Linked DNA regions of Callithrix jacchus. The protein of the gene in region 1 interacts with the protein of each later gene in a biochemical or structural test. Links are inferred from orthologs where the notes say so. Each region holds a gene or a part of one and is shown in the gene's direction. Other genes may lie near its edges.

Region 1 (6,081 bases):
TGACGGCAGTGATGAGGAGACGGCAGGATCTGCCTATCTGTATTTTCTTCCTGTTCCACCCAAAGGACCCTGACTCCATCATTCTGGTGGAGCCGGGCTGGGATGTCAGGGGGCCAGGCAAGAGTGCACAACCAGGCTCCAGGCTCCAGGCAGGCCTCTTTTACGGCTCTCCTAGCAAGGGAGGGATACAGTGGCTCCACAGCCCCAATGCACTGCTCTCATTGAGAGACACTTTGTCTGGGCTCATTCTCAGCTAGACCTTAGAATGAGGAGAGAGTCAGTCAGAGACTTGGATAACGCTCAGTGCCACACAATCAGCAAGATGGTTTTTTTTGCTTTTTTTTTTTCTGAGATGGAGTTTTGATCTTGTTGCCCATGCTGGAGTGCAATGGCATGATCTCACTCATTGCAACCTCTGCCTCTCAAGTTCAAGTGATTCTCCTGCCTCAGCTTCCCAAGTAGCTGGGATTACAGGCATGTACCACCACGCCTGGCTAATTTTGTATTTTTAGTAGAGAGAGGGTTTCACCATGTTGGTCAGGCTGGTCTCGAACTCCTGATGTCAGGTGACCCACCCACCTTGGCCTCCCGAAGTGCTGGGATTATAGGCGAGAGCCGCTGAGCTGTTTTTATCAGGTGTTGGTATGAAACCTAGACGATTGTTTCTGTTGCTGGCGGATAGTGTTTCGAGAAAGGCAGGCTAGGCCAGCGTTCCTGCTGTCATTTATTTCCATTCAGGAGTCAGGTTTCTCTTCCCCTACCTGGTGCCAGGCCCTTCCCTAGGTGTGGGCAGCGGGCAGACTTTGGGGGTTGAGATCCTGACTCACCTGAGGCTCACCCTGAGGCTTTGAGGGGGGTGACACCATGCGGTGGTGGGAGGGCAGGGTGGGGAGTGGGGTCTGAGCTGTCCCTCCACCTGGTCTGTGAAGAAGATGAAGGAGAGCAGCATCGATGACTTGATGAAGAGCCTGGACAAGAACAGCGACCGGGAGATCGACTTCAAGGAGTACTAGGTGTTCCTGACCACGCTGTGTATGGCCTACAATGACTTCTTCCTGGAGGACAGCAAGTGACTCGGGATGCCCTCCACCCTCACCCTGTGTCCCTTGCCGCTGACCTTGGCTGCTCCTGTCACGGCCCCTCTTTGGTCCCCTGCCCTCCTCTCCTCCCCGATGGACCCTTCCACAGGAGGAAATAAAGTTTCCATCACAGGTGCTGGGAGTCTGGTTTTGAAGATGTCTGGTCTACCTTGGCCTGGGGAAAGGGGAGCAAGGAGGGGGGTCTCCCCTTGAGTGGGTTGAGACAGCCTCTGTCTCTGGGGGTCAGGGTCCTGGGCTCCCACTCCTTTCCTCTCCTTCGGTGTGGACGTCATTGGTCTTGTCCTGGTTTAGTTTTGCCCTCCTGGGGAAGTCAGGCCAGGCAGGAACTCTGCGAGGACGCAGAGGAAGCAAAGAGAGAAAGTTGGTTGGAGAGGAGGACACTGGGAGGGGCTGGGAGTGGCTCCTGAGGGCCGTGATGGGCAGGCAGGCTTGACTTCAGAGCTCAGGGGAGGCCACCCTGGCAGCACTGGTAGGAAGGGCAAGTCTGCGTCTCATCCAGCCCCTCCCTCTCCTCCATTTCCCCTTCAGCAGCGCCCCGCTCATCATCTCTGGGGGCCAACCCTTTCCCCTCTCCCTACCTCCCTTATCAAAATCTTTTCTCAGGGGAGGCTCTGAAAAGGCTTTCACTAGGAATGGTGCTTACAGGGCTGGGCTCCTGCCTGCACGCATTAACGCAAGGTGCTGTCGTGAATGGAATTTGGGGCAGTGAGGGGAAGGCTGGAGGTGTAGGTAGGACTTGTTGCTGGTGGGGGGTGGGTGCTGCAGACATCCTTAGACCGACCGCTGGCTACTCCCCCTCTCTCCTGTGGGGTGACCCTGAGTATCCTCTGCGGGACACCGGCATCCCGCGAGGCGCCCTCCCTGCCCACATTGAGGCTGCGCAGACTCGAGGGTCACATTCACGCTCTGGCAGAGGAAGCAGGGGTGACCGCCGCCGTCCTCCTCCTGCTCCCCTCGCCGGGTCACGTGTCATGAAGAACGAGTTGAGCTGCGCAGCTGGGGGAAACTCCCCGTCACCAGGCGTGCAGTGGGTTCTGTTGGGCTCCCCTATCCCGTCCTAACCCAGAACAGCCCCGGGCAGGAGGCGTGGAAAGTCGAGGGGGGACACCGGGGTGTGCGTCGTGTAAGCCACGGCGCGGGGTGGGGCGCGGGCGGGACCTGCGTGGGTGGGGTGGGCTTGGCCGAGCCGGCCTCCCGGGCACAGACCGCTATAAGGCCAGCCGGATTGCGACTCAGCCCATCCCCTCGATTGCTCCCGTCGCATTTGGCAGCCTCGCTACCGGTGAGTTCTCCCCAGGAGCCCTGGGTACTTTCCAGGGCCGGCTGCCCTCACGCTGGGGGTCCAGCCACCCCCTGCCCAGCCTGGCCCCTGGATCCAGACTGGGGCCATCTGTGGCCTCCCCGGCTGGAGGGATAGTCAGGAGCAGCAGTGCTGTGCCAGGCAGGCCCCGGGCTAAGGGATCCCAATGGGGTGTACTCTTTTGGGGTGTGGAAGGGAGTGCCTTGGGTGTGTCACTGCCACCATGTGTGGCCCTGCGAGGCTGTGCTTAGGGCCTCCTGTGCAGCCTCCATCCCCCTCCCCTGCCCAGCCATACTCCATAACTTCTGGATCCCCTAAAGGACAGTTCTCAGCGGTGCCCAAAGCTGCTGTTCCTATATGATTCTTAGAATCCTTAAGCCACCTCTCCTGCCTTGGCCCTAGTCTGCCCTCTCCTTCCCCTTCAAGCCCTGGGCTGTCTCCTCATGCCATTGTGTGTGATCTGAGACTGAGTGGTCGGGGCTAGTGCTGGCAGTGTTATTGGGGTGTGTGGGTGAGAAGTCTTTGCTCCCACGGCACTGACCAGGGCCTCTGCTGCCAGCTCCAAGCCCAGCCCTCAGCAATGGCATGCCCCCTGGATCAGGCCATCGGCCTCCTCGTGGCCATCTTCCACAAGTACTCTGGCAGGGAGGGTGACAAGCACACCCTGAGCAAGAAGGAGCTGAAGGAGCTGATCCAGAAGGAGCTTACCATTGGCTCGGTGAGTGGCCTCCACCCCAGGGCCCCTCTTCCTCTTCCCACTGTTGTTCGTTGGAAGCAGGATTAGGGGAGGGAGAGGTGCCAGGTATGTCTGACTCACATTTACCCACATTCGGAGGCCCTGCTCCACATGTCTTACTGAGCTGTAGAACTACTCCCACAGCGGGTAGGGGATGCTCCCAGGCTGATGTCTGACTCACATTTACCCACATTCGGAGGCCCTGCTCCACATGTCTTACTGAGCTGTAGAACTACTCCCACAGCGGGTAGGGGATGCTCCCAGGCTGATGTCTGACTCACATTTACCCACATTCGGAGGCCCTGCTCCACATGTCTTACTGAGCTGTAGAACTACTCCCACAGCGGGTAGGGGATACTCCCAGCCTGATGACCATCCCTCCAGGTGAGGACCAGCGGCTGAGGAGTAGCTGAGGATATGTAATGCCAAAGTGAAGCCCAAGGTGGACATAGGTCCTTGGAGACAAAGATGCACAGAGCCACTTGCAGAGAGGGGGGCCTGGGAGGGGGAAGGACAAGAATCCAGGGTTGTCATCACCCCTGAGTCTGGATTTCACATTCTATCACATTAGAAGCTGCAGGATGCTGAAATTGCAAGGCTGATGGACGACTTGGACCGGAACAAGGACCAGGAGGTGAACTTCCAGGAGTATGTCACCTTCCTGGGGGCCTTGGCTTTGATCTACAATGAAGCCCTCAAGGGCTGAAAATAAAGTGGGAGGAAGGTGAAGACACCTCTGGGGGTCCCCTCTGAGTCAAATCCAGTGGTGGGTAATTATACAATAAACTTTTTTGGGGTCAAATTTCCCCTTGTGTCCTGGCTTCCAAATGATTTCTGTTCCTCCCGGGCTTCCTTGACGTAGTGGGGCACCAGCCATCCGAAGATTTGCTCACCATCAACCTCTGAAAATGACTCACTGACTCGCTAGGCTGGGGGACCCACCCTGACAAGGCCACCGCTAGCACATTAGGTGCCTTTATGTGAATGAGGAGAGATGCCCCTCTTGGGTTGGAGAGGGTCCTGGGATGAGCTTAGAGATGGAAATGATTCCTGGACTGGGCTGTGATGGGTCTGGGAGCAGAGATAGTCCCAGAGGCTCCCAGATGTGTTTTGCGCTGGGTGTGGCAAGAGGGGCCCTGGGGTGGGGCAAGTTCCCTTTCTCACCACAGTGCAGTGGGCAGAGAGGACACATCTGAGATGACTGAGGTTTGCCTCAGGGAGTTTTCCAGACCAGTGAGGACGCTGTGTGACAGTCTACTGCGGCTGCCCAGGTACCGGTGGAGTAGGGAGGCATGCTCTAGGTGCTTCCCCGCGTTCAGGGATGGGGACTCTTTGTTGGGACGGTGGTCTCAGGAGCTGGCAGCTGCACCAACACGTGAACCACGGGGAGCCCAGTAATGGGGTGGGGTGTCCCTGCAGCCTCAAGATGATGACTCACCCGGAGGTTCCACGGGAGCCTCGCCTGGACCTCAGCCCCCATCAGAGAAGATGACTAAATTGAATTATTGTTCATCGTCTTCATTAGTGTTTCAGGCAGGAGGGAAGGGGATAAGGGGGGTAAACGCTGTTTCAGGGTGATGCCACATCATTCAGCCTCTCTAGACCTGGTCTGAGCGGGGGCAAGTTCTCCTCTAGCTCTTGGGGAAGAGATCTTGACTTCAGATGGAGACCACATCCTTCTTTCCCTCTCACCTCCCCGCTTTCCTTGGGGACCCAGCTTTGTGGAATTAAGTTGTCTTCTGTCTCCACTGGGTGGGGATTGGTAAACAACTGGGAGCCGCACCTTCTCTATTGCCTCCCTGCCCTGCTGGGAGAAGTCGGGCTGTTGGCTACAGGAGACGGCGGGCGGAGGGGCGGGGGCCGAACGCCCCCACTGCACAAACGTGCCCAAGCCTTGGCTCTATTCAGCTCCCGCTGGAAAAGTACTCGCTTCCCAACTCCTCTGGCGCCCGCTAGGTCCCCGCCCTAAGCCGCTGTCCTCCCCTTTCCTCCCCGCCCCTCGCCGCCCGCCTTCCAGCTGCAGACAACTTGGGGCTCGGAGCGAGCGCCCTCCTGTGGTGGACAGAGAGCAGGACGCCGCGGGGACGTCCGGGTTGGTTTCTGAGTCTCTGGCGGTGGGGCGGTGGCCTGGCAGTCAGGGAGTCCTTAGGAAGAAGACAGACTTGGGCGGCCCGGGAATGTCGGGGTAGGGGATCCTTTGGCTCCTGGCACTCAGCCCCAGAATTAAGCAACTCAGCTTCACAGTCGACACACCCACCATGAGTAAGTCAATGAGGGGAAGGCGGTCCCTTTGCAAAGACAAATGACATATGAACTCTGCGCCTCCCCTCCCCTCCCTGCAGGGCTAGAAGACCTCCGCACTCATCAGTGCCGCCTGAGAGGGAAGAGGACTTTCAGGGGCAGGAAGCCCGCTGCTGCGGGGAGGCAAGGCCGTCCGCCAGGTGTTCCTGGGGAACTCGGGTGGGTGGGCAGGCCGCGGGTGCAGGAGAATCAACACAGGTGCGCGGTCCACCTGCTAAGTAAACAGTCGTGTTCCTTTCCTTTCTGCTTCCCCACAGTGGTGGAGGGGAACTGGAACATGGACTTCAAGAATAAAACAAAAAACAAAACAAACAGCAAATCTTTAGGGGGAATACACACACACACACACACACACACACACACACACACACACATACATATATTGAGATGGAACCTCATTCTGTCGCCCAGGCTGGAGTACAGTGGCGCCAGTCTCAGCTCACTACAATCTCCGTCTCCCGGGTTCAAGCGTTTCTCTTGTCTCAGCCTCCGGAGTAGCTGGGACTACAGGCGCGACACCACGCCTGGCTAGTTTTTGTATTTTGAGTAGAGACGGGGTTTCACCACATTGGCCAGGATGGTCTGGATCTCTTGACCTCCTGATCCGCCAGCCTCAGCCTCCCAAAGTGCTGGGATTACGGGAG
Region 2 (6,065 bases), about 14 Mb from region 1:
TCTTTATGGCTAAAATTCTTTTTCATGCGTATGGCGCATTGTGTTTATCCTTTCATCAGTTGATGGACACTTATTTCCACTTCTTTTTTTGAGACGGGAGTCTCGCTCTGTCGCCCAGGCTGGATGGCACAATCCTGGCTCACTGCAACCTCCACCTCCCGGGTTCAAGCGATTCTCCTGCCTCACTGCCGCGCTCCACAACACCCAGCTAATTTCTGTATTTTTAGTAGAGACGGGGTTTCACCAAGTTGGCCAGGCTGGTCTCAAACTCCTGATTTCAAGTGATCTGCCTGCCTGGGCCTCCGAAGGTGCTGGGATTACAGGCGTGAGCCATGGGGCCCACGTCCGGCCTTATTTCCACTTCTTGGCTAGCTGCTGTGAGTAATGTATACAAGTTTTTTGGGGGGACATTTTTGTCGGTTCTCTGGGGTATATACCTAGGAGTGGAATTAGTGGTTCATATGGTAACTTTCTGAGAAACTGTTAAAACTATTTCCAGAGGGTTGCACCATATTCCCACAAGAAATGTTTGAAGCTTCCAGTTTCCCAACATCCTTATCAACATTTGTTATTTTCTGGGATGTTTTATTTTTCTTTTTTGGTTTATGATACCATCCTAGTGGGTGTGAAGTGGCATCTTAGGGATTTGATGAGGATGTTGAGCATCTTTAATGTGCTTGGTGTCCATTTCTGTGAGAAATGTGTGTTGAATTCCTTTGCCCATTTTTGAGGCACATTGGTGTTAATGCCTCCTAGGTGAAGAATTAGGAAATAGGTAAAGCTTGAATGCGTTATGGATAGGGATAAAAGAAAAATAGAATTTTTATATAGGTAAAACAAATACATGCCAAGAAGGCAAGGAAAATTCCATGATAAACTAGATGAGAAACTACTCTATCTAGGACATGTTAAAGGATTTGTGCAGGAAGGTTTCAAATCTGCAAACAGCAGAACTGAGGAACTGTTTCAGTTGTAAATTTCTTAAGTGCATACCTTACAATAAAAAGATTACAGCCAAACTGGCAATAAAGAGGCTTGGGAATTCAGCCATTGGGGGAATCTCTTGCCTAATTTGAAGTACTTTTCTGATTCTGCTAGAAAAAGCATTCCTATTCCAGTCAAAAATCAGAATTTCTTGTTTAGGCTTGTTACATTTCATTTTACATTTCAATATTTTTATGAATTAGGAATTTTGGAATCAGCATGAATTTTTGGAACTATTACAATAAAAATATTACTTTGAACCAAAACATCTTAGTTCTAGGCTCAAAAGATGAGTTTGCAGAATTTTTTGTCATGGTAGTATGAACCGCTCTTGGAAGGGTCTGAGGGTGGACAGGAGGGTGGAGCAGAGTTGAACTTTTTTTTTTTTTTTTTTTTTTGAGTCGGGGTTTTGCTCTTGTTGTCCAGGCTGGAGTGCAAATGGCGTGATCTTGGCTCACTGCAACCTCTGCCACCCGGGTTCAAGTGATTCTCCTGCTTTGGCTTCCTGAGTAGCTGGGATTACAGTCATGTGCCACCACGCTGGTTAATTTTTGTATTTTTAGTAGAGACAGGGTTTTGCCATGTTGGTCAGGCTGGTCTCGAACTCCTGACCTCCAGCGATCCACCGGCCTCAACCTCCCAAAGTGCTGGAGCCACTGCACCTAGCTAGAGTTGAACTTTTTATACTATGTCATCTGTTATAGTTAGGCAAAACTAGGGCCTCTGAATTAAATAAAAGACTTGTAGTAAAAGAAAAGAATGGGTAGTTCTGTTACTGCATTTTATGACTAAGAAAGGCTTTCAAACTGTTGTGTTTCTGATATTCCGAGTTATTTATTTTATTTTTTTTGAGACGGAGTTTCGCTGTTGTTACCCAGACTGGAGTGCAATGGCACGATCTCAGCTCACCGCAACCTCCGCCTCCTGGGTTCAGGCAATTCTCCTGCCTCAGCCTCCTGAGTAACTGGGAACTACAGGCACGCACCACCACGCCCAGCTAATTTTTGTATTTTTAGTAGAGATGGGGTTTCACCTTGCTAATAACCAGGATGGTCTTGATCTCTTGACCTCATGATCCACCCGCCTCGGCCTCCCAAAGTGCTGGGATTATAGGTGTGAGCCACTGCACCTGGCTATTCTGAGTTATCAAACACTTAAAGATTTTTTTAAATTGAGCTTCTGACATAATCAAGCTGTGACAGAAGATTTTTTGGTCAAGTTGGTAGTATCCAGCCAGAATGTAAAAGTCATTGTAAGAAAAGCGAATCACCTGTTTGGAAAGATCTTGTGCATTTGCAGTATGTCAGAGGGTAATTAGGGAAAAAAACTTAGGCTCAATAATTTTCTAACATTGTCTTTAACTCTTGAATTTCATAAAATGTTGCCTCTATCTCTAGAAAGTAAAAAGTAGTAGACTTTAGTAGATGATGGATTGGCATAAAAAGAAAACAAGAACTTGGTGGCTTTTTCAAAAGATAATTTCCAAGAGTAGGTTGCATTTTGGGTTTTTTGTCACCTGTGCACCCAACTCCTACACTTCTGACTGTAAGACCCAGCTTCAGAACAAGACTTTTCCTTAAAAGCAGAAATTTGTTTTTAAAAATCTTTAGTCTGAAAACTTTAGACTTTTTTTATGTGAGGTATTTGAGGTGGGAAGATAATGAAGACCAGTCAGTGACAGAAAGTAGAGTATTCATTACCTCAGTAAAGTTGCTATATTACCATGCTGTATTACACTGCATGTTCTCTCATCTCTTAAATATTTTTAAAGTGTCTTAACATCTAATGATACTAGGATTAGATGTTACAAGGAAATCTATGAACACCTTGTTAAAAAAAATTTCTAAGTTGCAGATGTGTCTTGTAAATATTTTAAATACAAACTGGAAACTAGGTTTGATTACCTATTGTTTGTTCAAGATTGTTCAAAGTTTTCCTTTAAAAAAAAAGGAAGCTTGAGTTAATTATAGTTAATAAGCCAGAGGAAAGAATTGAAGTTGCAACTCAATCCTAGAAAATTTAGATGAACCTCTTAATTCTTAGTGCTTATTTCAGTAAGTTGAAATGAGTGATAAGCACAATAGAAAACCATAGCCTTATTTATCATAGCTAACTTATTTTTTGTCTTAACACAGCTACAGAAAGATCTAGAAGAGGTAAAGGTGTTGCTGGAAAAGACTACTAGGAAAAGAATACGAGATGCCCTTACAGCTGAAAAATCCAAGATTGAGACAGAAATCAAGAACAAGATGCAACAGAAATCACAGAAGAAAGCAGAGCTTCTTGAAAATGAAAAGCCAGCTGCTGTGGTTGCTCCCATTACAACAGGCTATACAGTGAAAATCAGTAATTATGGTATGATTTGCTTCCCTAGACCAGTTCTGCCTCCGATCAACCTATTCCTCATAGTGATCTAGTAACAAATTTTTATTTATTTATTTATTTATTTTGAGACGGCGTTTCGCTCGTTACCCAGCTGGAGTGCAATGGCGCGATCTCAGCTCACTGCAACCTCTGCCTCTTGGGTTCAGGCAATTCTCCTGCCTCAGCCTCCTGAGTAGCTGGGATTACAGGCACGTGCCACCATGCCCAGCTAATTTTTTGTAGAGATGGGGTTTCACCTTGTTGACCAGGATGGTCTCGATCTCTTGACCTCGTGATCCACCCGCCTTGGCCTCCCAGAGTGCTGGGATTACAGGCGTGAGACACCGTGCCCGGCCAAATTTATCTTTAAAAGAGCTTTCTGTGTGCGTTTTTGGTGGCTTGGAGGAAGACCCATCAGTTTTTATTTAATAAATAGGAAGGGATAATTTACAAAAGATGTTAACAATAAGGTGATTCAGTGCAAAGATGAATAGCAACAACGAAGCAACTTACTCTGAAATTGTTCAGTATATATGAGGCACTGCAGTGGTGGTGGTTTTTAATGTTTTACGTTGCACTCTGACAGCCACCTCAATTAACTGAGGAGAGGAATCCAGTTAAATTCAATAAATGTTTTTGAGCACTTACTGTGTATCACTATTGTGCTTGGACTTAAGGATACACAAGAGTGACTAAGACCCAGTCCTTGCTCATGGTGTGGTTGGGACACAGACATATAACTCACACTATAACAATGTAGTAACACTTTCCTTCAGTGGTGTATTCAGCTTTTTGTTTTGGCGGCAGTACAACTTGAATATGAGTGATCAGCTCTCATGAGAGCAAGGACAGTCTTTTTTTTCTTTGTGCTCATAGTGTCTAGTACATAGTGGGTAATATAGCTCAGGAAATAATTCTGGAGGTGAGAAACGGGGAAAATTAGATTTGAATGTGAAGGGTGAGTTGTATATTCAGTAAGTTGAAAAGGGAGCAGCATGAGCAGAGGAAGAGTTGGAAGGCATGATATATATGGAATATTGGTATAGTGAAAAGCATGTGTATGCTGGTTTCAAACTCCTGACCTCCAGTGGATCCACTGGCCTTGACCTCCCAAAGGGCTGGGATTACAGGTGTGAGCCACTCCACCCGGCCAGAGTTGAACTTTTTATACTGTGTCGTCTGTTAAAGATAGGCAAAACTAGGGTATCTGAGTTAAATGAGATAAAAGACTTGTAGTAAAGGAAAAGCATTAGTAGTTCTGTTACTGCATTTTATAAGACTATTAAGAAAGACTTTCAAACTGTCGTGCTTCTGATACTGAGTTTTGTTGTTTTTTTTTTTGAGACGGAGTTTCACTCTTGTTGCCCAGGTTAGGGTGCAATGGCATGATCTCTGCTCACTGCAACCTCTGCCTCCTGGGTTCAAGCGAGTCTTCTGCCTCAGCCTCCCGAGTAGCTGGGATTACAACCATGTGCCACCATGCCTGGATAATTTTGTATATTTAATAGAGACTGGGTTTCTCCATGTTGGTTAGGCTGGTCTCGAACTCCCAACCTCAGGTGATCCACCCGCCTGAGCCTCCCAAAGTGCTGGAATTACAGGCATGAACCACCACGCCTGGCCCTGATATTGAGTTATTAAGTACTTAAAGATTTTTTTTTAATTGAGCTTTATATAATCAAGCTATGACACATGATTTTTTTGGTCAGGTTGCTAGTATCAAGCCAGAATGCCTAAGAAATGTACTGTATAGTACTATAGGAAATTGTACTGTGTGCTCAGTTGAGTATAGAAAACTGATCTGAAGGTGTTTAGGATTATGGTATTTTAAGCAGGAACATAGAAATGTGTTGAGGGAGAAGTATTGTCAATCCAGAGGATGGACTGACTGAATGGGAAGAAACTATTAATAAATGAAGTTCTCTGAAACCCTCAGGGCATTGGATTAACACTATGTTTCTTTATAATTTTCGTAGGTACACAGTAGTTGTATATATTTATGGGGTACATGAGCCATTTTGATATAGGCTTGCAGTGTGAAAAACGTCATGGAGAATGGGGCATGTTTTTATTCTGTAGGACTAAGTGAGGACCAGTTAGGGATGTGTACATATACTTGATAAACAGACGACTTTTTTACGAAGCTTTTTATTTTCTACAAATGAGATGGTATTTTGTGAAGTTTATATGTCTTTTACGTCGACAGAGTTCCTCTAGGTTAGAGACTTGTTGGTAGTTTGATAATACATACTGAAATAGCATTTAATAGATACTGGTAGGTATGTCAGATTTGGATGAAGAATTGGGAGTCTTTTACATTGTTCTGCCCTGGAAAGAAATTAAGGGAGCTAGGATTGCATTTGTTAGACTACTTAGAGAAGTAGAAATGATACGGAATTAGACTTTAGCCATCCAGCTAAGTGGAGAACTACCAATATTTAGATGTAGGACAAAATTATTTCCATAAAAATGGTAAATGAACTAGTCTTTAAAAATGTATTTAGTGATCATATTTTTATTCTAAGGGATAAAAAGAGCATAGGCTTTGTGTTCAGAAACCTGGATTTGAATCTGAATTAGTCTGGCACTTGTTAGATGCCTAACTTTGGGTAGTACTTAGCTGCTTTGAGGCTCCATTTCTCAACCTTGAAAATTTCTTAGATTTCAAATTTTTTCATGTTTATATGACTGGATTTCCATATTTTTACTTTCCTGAA
Region 3 (6,065 bases), on another chromosome or scaffold:
CTTGGTTCATTCATGTGAAATAATCTTTCTTTTCTCTGTAATAGTTGTTTTAAAGTCAAAAATGTATTAATTTAAGATAATTTATGAAGCAATGATATATGGAAGGGGGAGATGGGAAATTGTTTATAAAAGGGAAAGTGTTTATAAATGGGAGACGTATATTGAAGGTATTTACATTTAAGGAAAGAGGAAAGGAATGATATTAATATATTTAAAACAAATTCTCCCCCTTTGAAAGTTTGTCACGTTAGGAATCCTGGGATTGGAGTGGTGAATCGTGGCATTGCTCTGCAGTTCATGCTGCTGGGAGCTGCCCCTCACCCTTACTACCCCGCCCCTGACAAACACAAGTTTGCTTATGCTCACGAGACTTGTTTTATTATTTAAAATATCAAGGAGACCTTTTCTCTTTCCCTTTCTTTCTAGAAGGCCAACAATGAGGCCAATCAGAGTGATACAAGTGTCTCCTTGTCAGAACCCAAGAGCAAAAGCAGCCTTCACTTACTGTCCAATGAAACAAAAATTGGATCTTTTCTAAGCAACAAAACTTTAGATGGCAAAGACAAAGCCGGCCTTTGTCCAGATGCAGATGATATGGAAGGAGATTCTTTCTTCGATGATCCCATCCCTAAGCCAGAGAAAACTTATGGTTTGTAAGTAAACGGTTTCTGAACTGGGAGACTAGGGGTTTAAAAACAAGATAAATGCTTTCATTTTATAGTTAAAAAATAATGAACTATGGATGGTTTATAATTATTGGATCCATAAATCTGATTATGTGTTGTTAATGCCTTTATGTTATAAAACAGTCCCAGGTTTTATAAAAACCTAGACATGATTTATTCTTACCTGTTAGATTGAGTGTCTGCCATATGCCAGGGACTGTTCCATGGTGGGTTGTAGCAATGATGGAAGAGGGAAGACGCCTACCCTCAGGAAGCTCATGCTCTGGTGATGGAGTCAGACAGGCAGTGAGAGTTACGCTGTGGTGTATGGGGTGACGAGAGCAGAGCAATGATGGGAGCCCAAGTGTGTGGTCAGGGCAGGTGTGTGTCAGCTGTCCAAATCGGAGGGGGCCTCACTTGGAGGTGTCCTGTGAGCAAAGAGGTAGAGGAGTTAAGGGAGTTGCCATGGGTTGATAGAGCTCTGGGGAGAGGAAACAGCAGACAGCAGGGAGGTGAGTATGGGTGTAGCAGAGAGAGCGAGAATGGGATCCGATGAGGTGGACTCAGAGATGAGAGGGCTGGACGGCTTTCCTTTGAGACTGGAAACCCTGGGGATCTTGAACCAGCATACATTACAGAACCTGAGGTTGCTAGGCAGGGTTGGACTTGGGGTTTCCAGGTAGGAGGCCATTAATGATTATTCAGGTGAGAAGTGATAGAAGCGGTGGGAGAAATAGGTGGGTTTTGGAAGTATTTTGAGTTTAGATGGGAAAGGATTTGCCAGTAAGTGCTAGAGAAAAAAGTAGTAGCCAGAGTGATACCATGGTTTTTAGCCTGCATAACTCGAAGGTTGGAAACACGTTAGATAAAGAGTGGAAAGAGCAAGAGCAGATGCACAGACAGGTGGCATGACAGCCTGGCACTCCCTGTCGCTGTGCTGAGTTAGAGAAGATTGCTGGTGGAAATCCGAAGAAGGCTATTGAGTATATGAATTGGGATTGATGGAGAGATCTAGGCTGGAGATGTAAATTAGGAGTCATCAGTTTGTAGATAATGTTGGGTGTGGAGACGGCAGAGGATCACCAAGGAAGCAGGTCCTGTGCACCTTGAGGCCAGAGGACACAGAACCAGGAAAGTGGTATCTTTGGAGGAGGTAGTAGGGAAGAGCAGCTGTATGAAGCCATTGGATTTAGCCATCTGGAGGTCGGTGACGACCTTGACAGAGTTAGTTTTGTTGGAATGAAGGTGCGAGGCAGGTTAAAAAATTAGAGTGCATTCAAGACAGAGAGGAAAGGATTGTAGATGGCAGGTAGTTTTCTGATGCGTTGTAAAAGTATGCAGAGGACCAGGATGGTGGCTGGAGGGGCAGGATGTAGGGTTAAAAACGTCTTTTAAGTGGGAGAAATAACAGCTCATATGCTGAGGAGAGCTGTTCAGCTTTAAAGGTGGAAGAATTAATGATGTAAGGGAGTAAGAGAAGAACTCATGGAGGGCTGTGCAGCAATAAATCCCATGTAGGGGCTTGTGTTTGCTAGAAAAGTAGAGCGTGTGTGTCCCGTTGCAGGCAGGGGGTGGATATGACGGTAGCACCTGTGCAGGCTCTCATCTGAGTTCATAGTTGAGTGAGGATGGAGGATGGAGGTTAGAGATTGGAGGAGAGTGGAGAAAGTGTGAAATCATTCTATAAGAAAGTAAGGCAAGAAGAGACTGTGGAAACCTGCAGGGTTATTGGGCAGAATTAAAGGTCCTCTTGAGGTTAGTAGTCATGACTTTAAGGGGAGTTCATCAGCATGGCAGTTTGTGGTTTCTGTAAATGATATTTAATCAGAGAGGTGGCACTTATTTGCTAGTAAACTCCTGTATTGTCCCTTGGTTGCATGTCTGGGTGATGGAAAGGGCTTTTGAGAAAAATCACAGTGAAGAGGATTCTAAAGAGAGGTGAGCTGATTTCTTACACACTGGCTGTGTTGATTGTGGTTGATCTGTACTTTGGTAAACCGTAAAGTTTGGCATACTTGGTATATCCTTGGTATACTTTATGGTTTTGAATCTGTAAAGTGTGTATTCTTGATTTCCAGCCGTAAGTTGCTTTTGTTTTAGTGGCAGAATGAAAGTGTTTAGTGGCAGAACATCAGAGCACTATTTCACTGTCACTTGTTTCCTGCTAGGAGGAATGAACCGAGGAAACAAGCAGGAAGCCTGGCCTCGCTCTCAGATGCACCCCCCTTAAAAAGTGGACTCAGCTCCCTGGTGGGAACCCCTTCCTTAAAAGACTCTGAGAGTAAGTGCCCAAAGATGTGGGCGTGATTACTCAGGATATTATTTCTCTAATTAAGCATTTAGAGGACCTTGACAATGAAGGACTAACCAGTGAGGATGTCACTTTAGTATATGAAATAGCAGTTGAATTGAAGAAAAATTTAGAAGTTTAAAGGGAAAATAAAATTGATGAAAATAATTAATTGTAGTCTGAATTCATACCTAATGGAGCTTCTTAAGGAAAGTGATGTCTTATAATTAGGCAAAAACATTTTTTTGGTGGTTGTGTTCCAATAAAGTAGTATTGTTTATGGTTTTAAAAGGGTTGTGGCCGGGCATGGTGGCTCATGCTTGTAATCCCAGCACTTTGGGAGGCCGAGGCGGACGGATCATGAGGTCAGCAGTTTGAGACCAGCCTGGCCAACATAGTCTCTACTAAAAATACAAAAATTAGCCGGGTGCGGTGACACACAGCTGTAGTCCCAGCTACTCGAGAGGCTGAGGTGGGAGAATTGCTTGAACCCAGAAGGCGGAGGTTGCAGTGAGTTGAGACCGTACCATTGCACTCCAGCCTGGGGTGACAGAGCAAGATTCCATCTCAAAGGAGTTGTAATGCATAATTTAAGCATTCATTAATCTTAGTTTATTTTTTCTTTAGTTTTAGGTTATTATGCACCTGTCATAAAGAAGCTCCATATTGAACAACAACAAAAATTAATGTGGTTTAGAGACTGTTGTATTCTAAGAGTCACTCTAATAATATCTTCTCCTGTTCACAGGTAAAGGGGGGAATATAGTTTTGAAAGATCTGAAATTGATCAGTGATAAAATTGGATCCCTTGGATTAGGTAACTAGATTTCCAGTTTTTTTGTGTTGATTGTTTTAAAGTAATTATTTTTAAGGTAAGGTTGTAGAAGAAGTGACTCAGTCTGCCTCCACCGAGCACCTTCCTGCTGCTGTTCATTCAGCAGGTGTTTGGGTGGCTTTCATATGTTCAGGATTATGCCCTATGCCAGAGATGACCCCAGCAACAGCCATCATGTCCTCATGAACCTCTGTCTTCATGGAGTTTAAATTCTGGTCAGGAATATGGACACTGAACAGGTATCTGCAGATATTTTGAGTGTAAAAGGGTCAGTATATATGGGTATAGAAATGGCAAGTAGGTTACCTTGGCCCAGTCTTGACATTCGGGGAAGACCTCTTAGAGGAAGTGATGTCTGTACAGAGGCTTGATGGTTAAGTAGATGTATACAAGAGAAGGGAAGATATTTCTGTTCAATTTCAGACTGAGAAAAACTTGTGCAGAGGCAGAGCCGTTTGCTAGATGCTAGTAGTACATGGTCCAGGCCTCAGAGAATTCAGTCTAATGGGGAAACAAGACTTATTGAAAGAAAAATTGTGAAATGTGTTCAGTTCTGTTCAATGGAGCAGAAGTTGGTGAGACTGCCGTGTAAGTACATTCGTTCTTATGGAGGTAAGAGTGTCAGTGTGAACATTACCAAGCCCTGGGCCATATGTTGAGAGCACAGTTCTCAAACCGTGCTGTCTCCTGTTGCAAGACCGTAGCAGGGTAACAGGCATACTTTTGGCAAACTCAGGCACTGACCTGAAGGAAATGGTGTAGCCAGGCTCTCAGTGGCCACTTCCTATGCTCTCTGTGGATGTGGTGGGATCGCTTCCTGGTCTTTAGTCACTTAGACATGGAAGCATTGGAACACAGCTGCCCAAGCAGGTTGGGGGAAAAAGAAAGCTGTGTCCCCATGTGCTTTTAGAACTCAGGCCTGTCTGAGGGGCAGCACCAAGAATACCCTTCCCTCTTCACGAGAGACATTCTGGTTAGTGCAAAGAACTTGGGCTTGGAGTTGGGTAGCAGTAACATCTCAGATGTGGCACTGATTGATGGGGTAGCATAGGGAGGTAAACTAAACTGCTATTTCCTCATCTGTTAAGTGGAACTAATAACATCTGCCTAGTTTTAAAGAGCAAATAGGATTTAAATACCTTTTCATATGTAAATTAAGGTACAATGCCTGGCATGATAGGTGCCTAGTCAATGTTAGTTTCCCTTTTGTGTTACTTTGTTCCCGCATTTGCAGAAGAATAAATGTCCCCTGAGTTGCCTGGATTCTTGTTCCACACAGTGCCCTGGAGTCCTGGTAACAGCTGACTTGCTGATTATGCCACCCTGTGCTCTGTGTCCCCTGGTTGCTGGCTGGCGGGCCAGCTAGATGGGCCTGCCCCCTCTCCTTCCCTTGTGCTTTTCCTGTCAGCGGGAGTTCTGGTTGCCATTAGATGTTGTTTTCCACTTGACACCAATGGCTAACTGCCTCCAGAGACTTTACTCCAACCTCTGCATTCTGACGGCTGCACTGTCCCCGTCGTGTTCTGTTTTTTTCTCTTTTGTGGTGTTTCACTTTGATGCCAAACCTTTGAGCATTTCACTCTGACTGCTCTATTCTCTGACCAAAGCGAAGGTTTTCCCACCAGCTTCTGAGGCGGAGCTGCTAAGAATTCTCATCCTTAGGAGGGAAGGTGATCGCTCTCGCTGCAGAGGTGCTGGGTACAGGCAGGAAGGTGGTGTGCTCCTTCACTTTTTCTTGGGACTTAGGTATACTTCAGATTGGAATTTGGATAGTTATGCAGGTGAGAACTACCAGTTTACTAGCTGAATGTTTGTCATTTAGCTAGGCATTAGGATTCAGTAGAAATAAAGTTTTACTTTGTTTTGTGGAATGTTTGATTGATATTGCAACAATGTTGTTTTCTATTTGGGTTTTTTACATTTTAAATATACAGTCCTCTAGGTGTTTTGAGTAATATATAGACAGATGTTAGACTACCTTAGGATAATAATGATGTTAGTGATAAATGCTTTACACTGTACCAAGGAATTATTTTATTTAATTCATAGCCTATGAGGTAGGTTTTATTATTATCTCCATTTCTACAGATGAAGAACCTAGGTTAAATAACTTGCCCATGGTCGTGCTGCTTTTAGAGTCCTGATGCATCCCCACGGAGCCCTTACCACTGTGTTTTACTGTCTGTCTGTTACTTAGACAGGATTTAAATAATCATTTCAATGGGAAAATACATTCTGAGTTCCAAAGAAATCATCTACAAAGAAAGCTTTAGCG

The links.
Region 2: the proteins of S100A6 (region 1) and CACYBP are reported together in a solved structure, tested with the Homo sapiens proteins (2 studies listed by BioGRID and IntAct, with this or other methods). The link is inferred for Callithrix jacchus from reciprocal best matches to the Homo sapiens genes S100A6 and CACYBP.
Region 3: the proteins of S100A6 (region 1) and CEP43 form a complex in vitro, tested with the Homo sapiens proteins (2 studies listed by BioGRID and IntAct, with this or other methods). The link is inferred for Callithrix jacchus from reciprocal best matches to the Homo sapiens genes S100A6 and CEP43.

Annotation. Positions count from the first base shown.
Region 1 is NC_133519.1:13,945,057-13,951,137, reverse strand, and holds S100A6 (protein S100-A6), read left to right. Parts: upstream 1-2,339; 5' UTR 2,340-2,382; intron 2,383-2,944; 5' UTR 2,945-2,980; coding exon 2,981-3,118; intron 3,119-3,707; coding exon 3,708-3,842; 3' UTR 3,843-3,942; downstream 3,943-6,081. UniProt on the Homo sapiens protein: May function as calcium sensor and modulator, contributing to cellular calcium signaling.
Region 2 is NC_133519.1:28,149,065-28,155,129, reverse strand, and holds part of CACYBP (calcyclin-binding protein), read left to right. Parts: 5' UTR 1-332; coding exon 333-377; intron 378-3,119; coding exon 3,120-3,339; intron 3,340-6,065. UniProt on the Homo sapiens protein: May be involved in calcium-dependent ubiquitination and subsequent proteasomal degradation of target proteins. Probably serves as a molecular bridge in ubiquitin E3 complexes. Participates in the ubiquitin-mediated degradation of beta-catenin (CTNNB1).
Region 3 is NC_133505.1:173,673,565-173,679,629, forward strand, and holds part of CEP43 (centrosomal protein 43), read left to right. Parts: intron 1-426; coding exon 427-653; intron 654-2,833; coding exon 2,834-2,946; intron 2,947-3,582; exon of another isoform or gene 3,583-3,703; coding exon 3,704-3,772; exon of another isoform or gene 3,773-5,571; intron 5,572-6,065. UniProt on the Homo sapiens protein: Required for anchoring microtubules to the centrosomes. Required for ciliation.